Linked DNA regions of Canis lupus familiaris. The protein of the gene in region 1 binds, or shares a complex with, the protein of each later gene. Links are inferred from orthologs where the notes say so. Each region holds a gene or a part of one and is shown on either strand. Other genes may lie near its edges. The genes, in order: DIS3L and EXOSC10.

Evidence for each region.
Region 2: DIS3L (region 1) and EXOSC10 share a complex: the UniProt entries of both Homo sapiens proteins name them as parts of the RNA exosome complex. The link is inferred for Canis lupus familiaris from reciprocal best matches to the Homo sapiens genes DIS3L and EXOSC10.

Annotation. Positions count from the first base shown.
Region 1 is NC_049251.1:31,062,912-31,066,726, reverse strand, and holds part of DIS3L (DIS3-like exonuclease 1), read right to left. Parts: intron 2,066-3,815; coding exon 1,532-2,065; intron 730-1,531; coding exon 575-729; intron 474-574; coding exon 295-473; intron 1-294. UniProt on the Homo sapiens protein: Catalytic component of the RNA exosome complex which has 3'->5' exoribonuclease activity and participates in a multitude of cellular RNA processing and degradation events.
Region 2 is NC_049223.1:84,430,741-84,434,555, forward strand, and holds part of EXOSC10 (exosome component 10), read left to right. Parts: intron 1-1,488; coding exon 1,489-1,584; intron 1,585-1,897; coding exon 1,898-1,972; intron 1,973-3,291; coding exon 3,292-3,379; intron 3,380-3,815. UniProt on the Homo sapiens protein: Catalytic component of the RNA exosome complex which has 3'->5' exoribonuclease activity and participates in a multitude of cellular RNA processing and degradation events.

The DNA.
Region 1 (3,815 bases):
CTATCTCTGGGTGGTAAGATAATAATTTGATCTTTTATGTTTCTACATTTTGGGAAAAACATCTAACTCATGGTTAAATCTCCTAAACCCACATTAAGTGACTTCATAATATTTATAAATGTATTGAGAGCTAGACAAGAAACTTTACAGTTTTTCATGTTATCTCAATGGTTAGAATAATGCTAGAATTTAATTCACTAGAATATATGGTACTTTTTTCTACCATACAAAAAAGCTGATATATTCTCTTAGGAAAAGAGATGATGGATAAGAGAATTTAAAATCCCTTCTTACTCGGTTTCTGTTGTTGATATGTCTGCATAATTCCTCAAGATCTTTGTTGCTTAACAAATTGTCCTTAATTTCCATTTTCTTATCTTTTGAAATGGCTGCCATTAATAATCGGTGTACTACGATATCTGAATATCTTCTTATTGGAGATGTAAAGTGGGTATATTTATCTAATGCAAGGCCTTCAAAAAGAAACCAAAAGATGGAAATCAACAAAAAAATACACTTTTTTAAACAACCTGCTCAAGGTTATGGCCACACAAAAGAAAATGCTATCATTCACCATAATGATGGAACTCTTCCTCCGCACATGACCCCGTGGAGAAATACAGTGCATTAGACATGGCCTGTGTGGCCATGGATCGCAGCAACCTGTTTACAATGGGATCGTTGGGGTCATTTGCATTATCCAGAGAATCAGCCAGTGTTTTATTGGACCTGACAAAAAAAAAAAAAAAAAAGAAAAGAAAAACAGGAAAATATTAGTCCCCAGCAACAATTTGCAAGTCAATGCGCTCAGAGGGAAATCTTTCACTCATCACTCTGAAGAAATTTTATTTTGGATATGTTTTAGAAGCAACTCTTTTCAACTACAGAAATCTAGTTTGCTTTTGAGATTTAAACAAAGTAAGTGGGGGCGCCTGGGTGGCTCAGTGGTTGAGCAGCTGCCTCTGGCTCAGGTCGTGATCCTGGGGTCCAGGGATTGAGTTCTGCATTGGGCTCCCTGCAGGGAGTGTCTCTGTGTGTCTCTCATGAATACATAAATAAAAATCTTAAAAAAAAAAAAAACAACAACGAAGAATCTTTATACACCTAACAGCATAGCTTTGAAATAAATAAATAAAATCTTAAAAAAAAAATAAAGTGTATCAATTTAAATACATTTCTGAAGTATGTACTGATACCTATGTGGTTAACATCCAGCATATAGTAGGTGGTCAAATACTTGAAATAAAGTATTGAAATAAATAGGATTACTTGGTGTTTGCCTGTAGGGTTATGAATTTAAACCAAGGGAAACAGGTTCCTTACTTCTGCATTACAAATTGTAGGAGATCAAAACTATGCCTAAATAAACTCACTTTAATTTTAATCTCTATACCTACATTATGGTAAATGAAGAGAGCCAAGAAGCTTTCTATTTTTGGTCAAAGATCTGACTGTCACATTTTAAGAACTACTGCAAGATAAATAAGTGTGCAGCACTCCTGCCATTGCTCTGCCCCCTCAGAGGAGTTACCGTGTATCTATGAAGAAGCCTTTGGCTTTAGCACATTCTCGCAGTTCAGAAAAAAATTCCTGGTGTGGAGGAGGGTGTTGGCGCAGCAAGGCCTGATGAGGGAAGCTTTCCCAGATTTTCCGGGCTACCCAGTGGTTGGCCAGGATCATGCACTCAGCCACGGTCTCATGGACTTCCAGGGGCTGCTTGGGGATGAGGTCATGGATGTTCTTTTTCTCATCCAGCTGAACACGAACCTCTACCCCCTCCAGCTCCAGGGCACCACAACGGTCTCGCTTAGCTCGGATGTGACGCGCTATGTCCGTCAACTTTCCAAGGGCCCACACTAGCTCCTCTAGCTTGGCTTGTCTGCTCTTCGTGTCCAGGTTTTTGAGTTCTGGAATATCCTCAACCACGGTGACGTTTCCATCCAGCAGTTCCTGGGCCGCTTCATAAAACAGTTTGTAGGCTGATCGGATGATGGTTCTGCCGAACCACACGTTCTTAATTTCATAGGAGGTTCTATCCAACTCCCAGATCACACTTACAGCATACCTACAAAACCAGTAATGCTAGCATTATCACTCCATTCTTCCATTTTTGAAGCAAGGAGAACTAGACCCTACATGTGACTTAAAAGAAATGACAATGCTACAGGTTTCTGGACCAATGTCTCAATCCAAACATTCCACTATTTACTACAAAACTATTTAAAATTAGGGATCCCTGGGTGGTTCAGCGGTTTAGCACCACCTCCGGCCCAGGGCGTGGTCCTGGGGTCCCCGGATCGAGTCCCACGTCGGGCTCCCTGCTTGGGGCCTGCTTCTCCCTCTGCCTGTGTCTCTACCTCTCTCTCTCTCTCTCTCTCTCTCTCTCTCTCTGTCTCATGAATAAATAAAATCTTAAAAAAAAAACTATTTAAAATTAAAACCAACTTTAGGTTCTGCTGAGCTCTGAGCAAATCTGAAAGGAGTTCACATGTAATGTCACACAGGCTATCTTACAGTTCTCCTGTTTAGTTAGACTAGCATAGCACTGAGAGAGCCACGTCTGGTGGGCTCTTTAGTAAAGTAGAAGAAAGCAAGCCTTTCAAATCCTATAGAGTAACACTGAATTATCATATCGCTCTCAACGGTAGTTAATTAGCAAAAAAGTGTATTTAGTAAAGAACCACTTTGCCACCAAATCACTGTTTAAAAACATACGCAACATTAGCAACTCGTATAAAAAAACAAAAGGTTAATTTTCCTAATATGTAAAGAGTTCTTATAAATCAATTACAGAAATGGAGAACTCAAAAAAAAATGGGAAAGGAACATGAAATAGTTCACAGAAAAGGATACATACATAAATGACTGTTAAACATACACAAAAATGCTTAACCTTATTCATAAAAGGAAAAATGCAAATTAAAACCACCTAAGTAAGATACCATTTTCATCTCAAATTGGCAAAGATAAAAAATGCAACATGTGTTGGCAAGACTTTTGGAGAAAGCATTCTCACACATTGATGGTGGGACTGTAATTGGTGTAACCCTTATGGAGGACAATTTGATTACATCTATCTAAACACAAATGCATTTATCCTTTGACACAGAAATTCCACTTCTAGGAATTCATCCTCTAAGCATACTATACTTTTAAACATGTGCAATGACCTATGTTCCATGTAATTCGGTGTAGTTTTGTTTGTAATAGCACAAGTCTGAAAATAATCTAAATTTCCATAGACAAGCAACTGTTAACGTGGAATAGTCTCCACACTGTATTGGTTTTTTTTTTTAATTTTTATTTATTTATGATAGTCACAGAGAGAGAGAGAGGCAGAGACACAGGCAGAGGGAGAAGCAGGCTCCATGCACTGGGAGCCCGACGTGGGATTCGATCCCGGGTCTCCAGGATCGCGCCCTGGGCCAAAGGCAGGCGCTAAACCGCTGCGCCACCCAGGGATCCCTCCACACTGTATTGTTAAGAGAAATAAAAAAGCTGCTGAAAGCATGCACGCGCACACACGCATATATATATTATATAAAATGTCACCAGTTGTGTATGAAACAGAGACCATATGTCCATTTGTGTGTATATACATTATATCTAGAAAAATACATGAGATATTGGTAACTGGGGCCAAGTGATAGGAGGGGAGCCTTTCACTAAATATTTTTTAGAATCTATGAATTTTGGACTATATAGTCTTATTACATATTCAAAGGTAGATATAAATGTTAACTACAACAAATAAAGAACTCCCCAAGTTCATGATCCTCATGCAAAATAGCCTCAACCAGGGAATCCACGTGCAT
Region 2 (3,815 bases), on another chromosome or scaffold:
CTCTCAGGAGAAGAAACCCCCGAAGAAGGGTTGACATCTGGACGCCGGCTAATGCCTAGTCGGGAGGAGGGCGTGGGCTGCGGTGACATAGAGGCAGGACCTTCCCTTCCAGCTGCAGGGAAGGCACAGCCCATCCTCAGCCCCTGCTCAACGGGGCTGCGCGTCCCTTAATGACACAAGTCAGCGCCTCCTACACGTGCTCAGGCTGAAAAAGAGGAGGCTTTGAAAAGCATTTCTGTACAGCGCGGCTGAGTAGGGACAGTGAAGAGCAAGATACGAAGGCACCAGCACGTGGGTAGAAATGTGTTTCCCATCCCAAAGAGGGGCTGCGTCATGGTAGACAGTGGCCCCGTCTGGTCCGGGAGCGCGTGTGGCCAACCTGGGCCCAGCCGTGCTCCTGCACTCGGCAGCGGGTGGTGACGGAGCCTGTCCCAGTCTGTCCTACCCAGCGGGTGTCTGTCTTGTTTCTGCCAGGGCTTGAACTACGGGCTCCTTACAAGAGGAGGACCAGGGTGCAGTTGTTGGTCAAGATGGGTGGATACTAAAATGACCAGCTTGAAAGGAAAATGCACAGATAAAACTCTGAATAGTGCAAACAACAGATGTGCTAAAGGAAAAATCACAATTTCTGGAAAGAAAGAGAAGCAAGCATACGATCTGTATGGATAAAGACGAGTATCCAGCTTAGCACGTGTTCATGGGAGAAACAGCTGGTGGTTCAGTAGGTTCCAGGATCACAGGTCACAGCTGGTCCATCGTGCCAGAGCGCGGGGCCAAAGCCAGAAAGGCAAAATGCCACCTGCAAATGTACTACCCGAGAGTTAACTTTTTTTCCCCACTTATCACATACATTTAGATTGGGTCTTGCTTCGGTTATTCCTGAGCAGAGCAGTCCGCGAGCTTTAACTGGGCCAACGAGGTGACTCGGCCCCTAAAGATACAAGCATGAGCTTTGGGCTGCGTGAGCATGGGCGCGCTGTGCTTGGGTGTCCTGTGCTGTGTGGCGGGACTGTCGCCACGGAGAAAGCAGAAGGAAAGCACGTTCTGAACCCAGTTGGAAGCAACACCCGGTTGCCTGATTTTACTGATTCCCCATAATGGTTTCTGATTTTTAATTTGCAAGTGTCTGCTTACAACCTCAAGTTCTAGAGCCACCCAGACCCGGTTTCAGTCTTCATCCTGCCCCGTTAGCTCTCAGGCTCTGCAAGACATAACCACACTGTGCCTCAGTTTCCTCATCTGTAAGGTGGGGAGAATAATACCACATACCTCATATGTTATAAGGGCACCCTGAGAATTCGCTGGTTCAATAAATGTGTTAAGACGCCCTCCTGCGTGCTGGCCCACGCTGCTAGAGGGCCCCCTACGTGTGAGAGGCCCGAAGAGTAGCGGTTGTTCTGCTGCCGCCACGAGGATTCTGCGGCTTGCGTCGTGAAGCCACACAGCGGTCGCGGTGATAAGTTGGTCCTTTTCTGCCCGTCCCTGCAGGAACCCAGTGCTGAAGAGAGCGGGAAGAGCCCATTAACAGTTGCACAGAAGAAAGCCCAGAACATAATGGAGTCCTTCGAAAATCCGTTTAAGATGGTAAGGGAGCGCTGTGTACGCCCGGGGCTGACGGTAGGCCCAGCCTTCTGCGGCTCGTAGGGCCTCCTGCCCGGAAAGGAAGGCCAGCGGTCCTGGAGAGGGAGCTTCTGAGCCCGGCGTGTCGGTTGCGCCTGGTGTCCGGGTTGGGACAGAGTCGGGGTCCTCTAAGACGAAAGCTGCAAGGACGCCTCTCGGGTGTCCGGGAGCCGTGGCCTGGGCCGACGCACGGACCAGGCCTCCCACGTGCAGCCCACAGGAAACCCCGTCCGGGGCCTGCGCGCGTTTCAGTGACTGTTTCCTTCCATTCCTCCAGTTCCTGCCTTCCCTCGAACACCGTGCTCACGTTTCTCAGGCAGCAAAGTTTGATCCTTCGTCAAAAATCTATGAAGTAAGTGGATTTGTCACCCTTTCCGAGAGGGACTTTCTAAGACGGGGGGACTCCTTAATTATCTGAACCAGGTCTCTGTTAAGCCCATCCTGAACCTCCTGAAAAGGAATACAAAGGACACTTCATGTATAAATATAGAGAGACATATATAAGCAATGTTTCTTTTTTTACTTTAAAGATTTTATTCGTTCATGAGAGACACAGGGAGACGCACAGACACAGGTCGAGGGAGAAGCAGGCTCCCTGCAGGGAGCCCGACGCGGGACTCGATCCTGGGACCCCAGGATCATGGCCTGGGCCAAAGGTGGTTGCTCAACCGCTGAGCCACCCGGGTGTCCCGATAATGTTTTGAGAGAGGGGGGCCAGAACCTTATTCTGATTTTCAGAAGCATTTGGGAACCTGAACGGGCCTTTGGTTTTTGCGTTTGGCTTTTAATTGAAGTTTAGCCTACGTGCGGTAGGCGTTCTGTGTTGGGCGTACCGCTGGACGTTCGAGTGTTACTGTAGGGCTCTCACAGGTGACAGCTTACGTTTTAAAACACTCCGTCTTCCGTTGTTGGTTTGTTTTTAACAGCATTATGAACAAGAATAAGGAAACCCCTTCCCTGGAGCCCCATGAGATGTTCCTGGGAGCCCGCGTGTTAATCGTTAGCCTTCCTGCGGGAAGTGCCTGCTCGGGTCGGGTGGGCCTGGCCCCCGCTGCCCGGCGCTCTCTCCTTAGGCAGCAAGCGCAGGCGGAACCGCACAGGCCTCCTGTCGCTAGTGTTAGCCTGTTGCCTGTTGTCTTTAGCGGTGGGGAGTCCAGTGGATTTTTTGCCTCCTTTCTCCCCCGCTGGCTGTGGCCCGCTCCCAGGCACACCTTCCCACGCCAGCTGTCGTATCTGAGATGCGTTCTAACACCGCAGCCAAGTGAGGTATCCCGGCAGCACTCTCGCCCTGAGAAGTCCTGCCTTGGAGCCCAGCTCTACCGTCTGCTAACCGTGTCCCGTCAGACGTAGCTTCTCAGAGCCTGTTTCCGTCTCAAAGTGGGGGTGACGATAATGCCTTGTTCCCGGGATCATAGAAGGGATTGGATGAGAGGATGAGCAGGAAGGTGTCCGGCCCTGTGCTGGGAATACTGTGGTGCTTTGTCCTCTTGATCAGTATTTTATAAAAGCCAGCATGAGATTTTATTTTTTGTGTCCTCAGACTTGGAATCTGTGACTTGGAGTGTGCGTGGCTGCTAGGTTAGCACGCCCGGCATCGCCTCATTAAAAAAATAAAGCATTCCTGGGTGGCTGAGTTTTGGAGTGTTTTTGTTTTGTTTGTTTTCATTGTAGATCAGCAACCGTTGGAAGCTGGCAAGCCAGGTACAGGTACACAAAGAACCTAAAGAAACTGCCAAGGAGAAGGCAGCGGAGCAAACAGGTAGCACTCGATTTCTTGTGACTGAGCCCATCGGAGTGTCTGTCGGAGGACGGGCCTCGTACATCCTTCTGTTTGTTCCACAAAGTGCCGGCGGGACAGGGGCGAAGCACAGCCCCCGCCCCGTGCGCTGGCCTCTTCCTGGGGGATAGGGTCAGGGACCCGTGATGTACATTCCCCCAGATGGTGCTTCCGCAGGGAGCGGGGTAGGAAGTGCTCGGGGTGGGCATGAGGCCCGGTGGCTGCTTCCACATGGTGTTTACAGAAGCGGGTCTGATAATGTGACAGTCGCAAGGACCGCAGCTTCCAGGGGAAGAGTGCTCCGTCCTGTTGGCCCACCGGGTGTAAGGCCTGTGGTGGTTCCTCGCTGGGCGTGCGCAGAGGGTGCCCCGGGGCACAGTGTGGCTGCGGGGGGCACAGGACCCGGTGCCGGGACGCA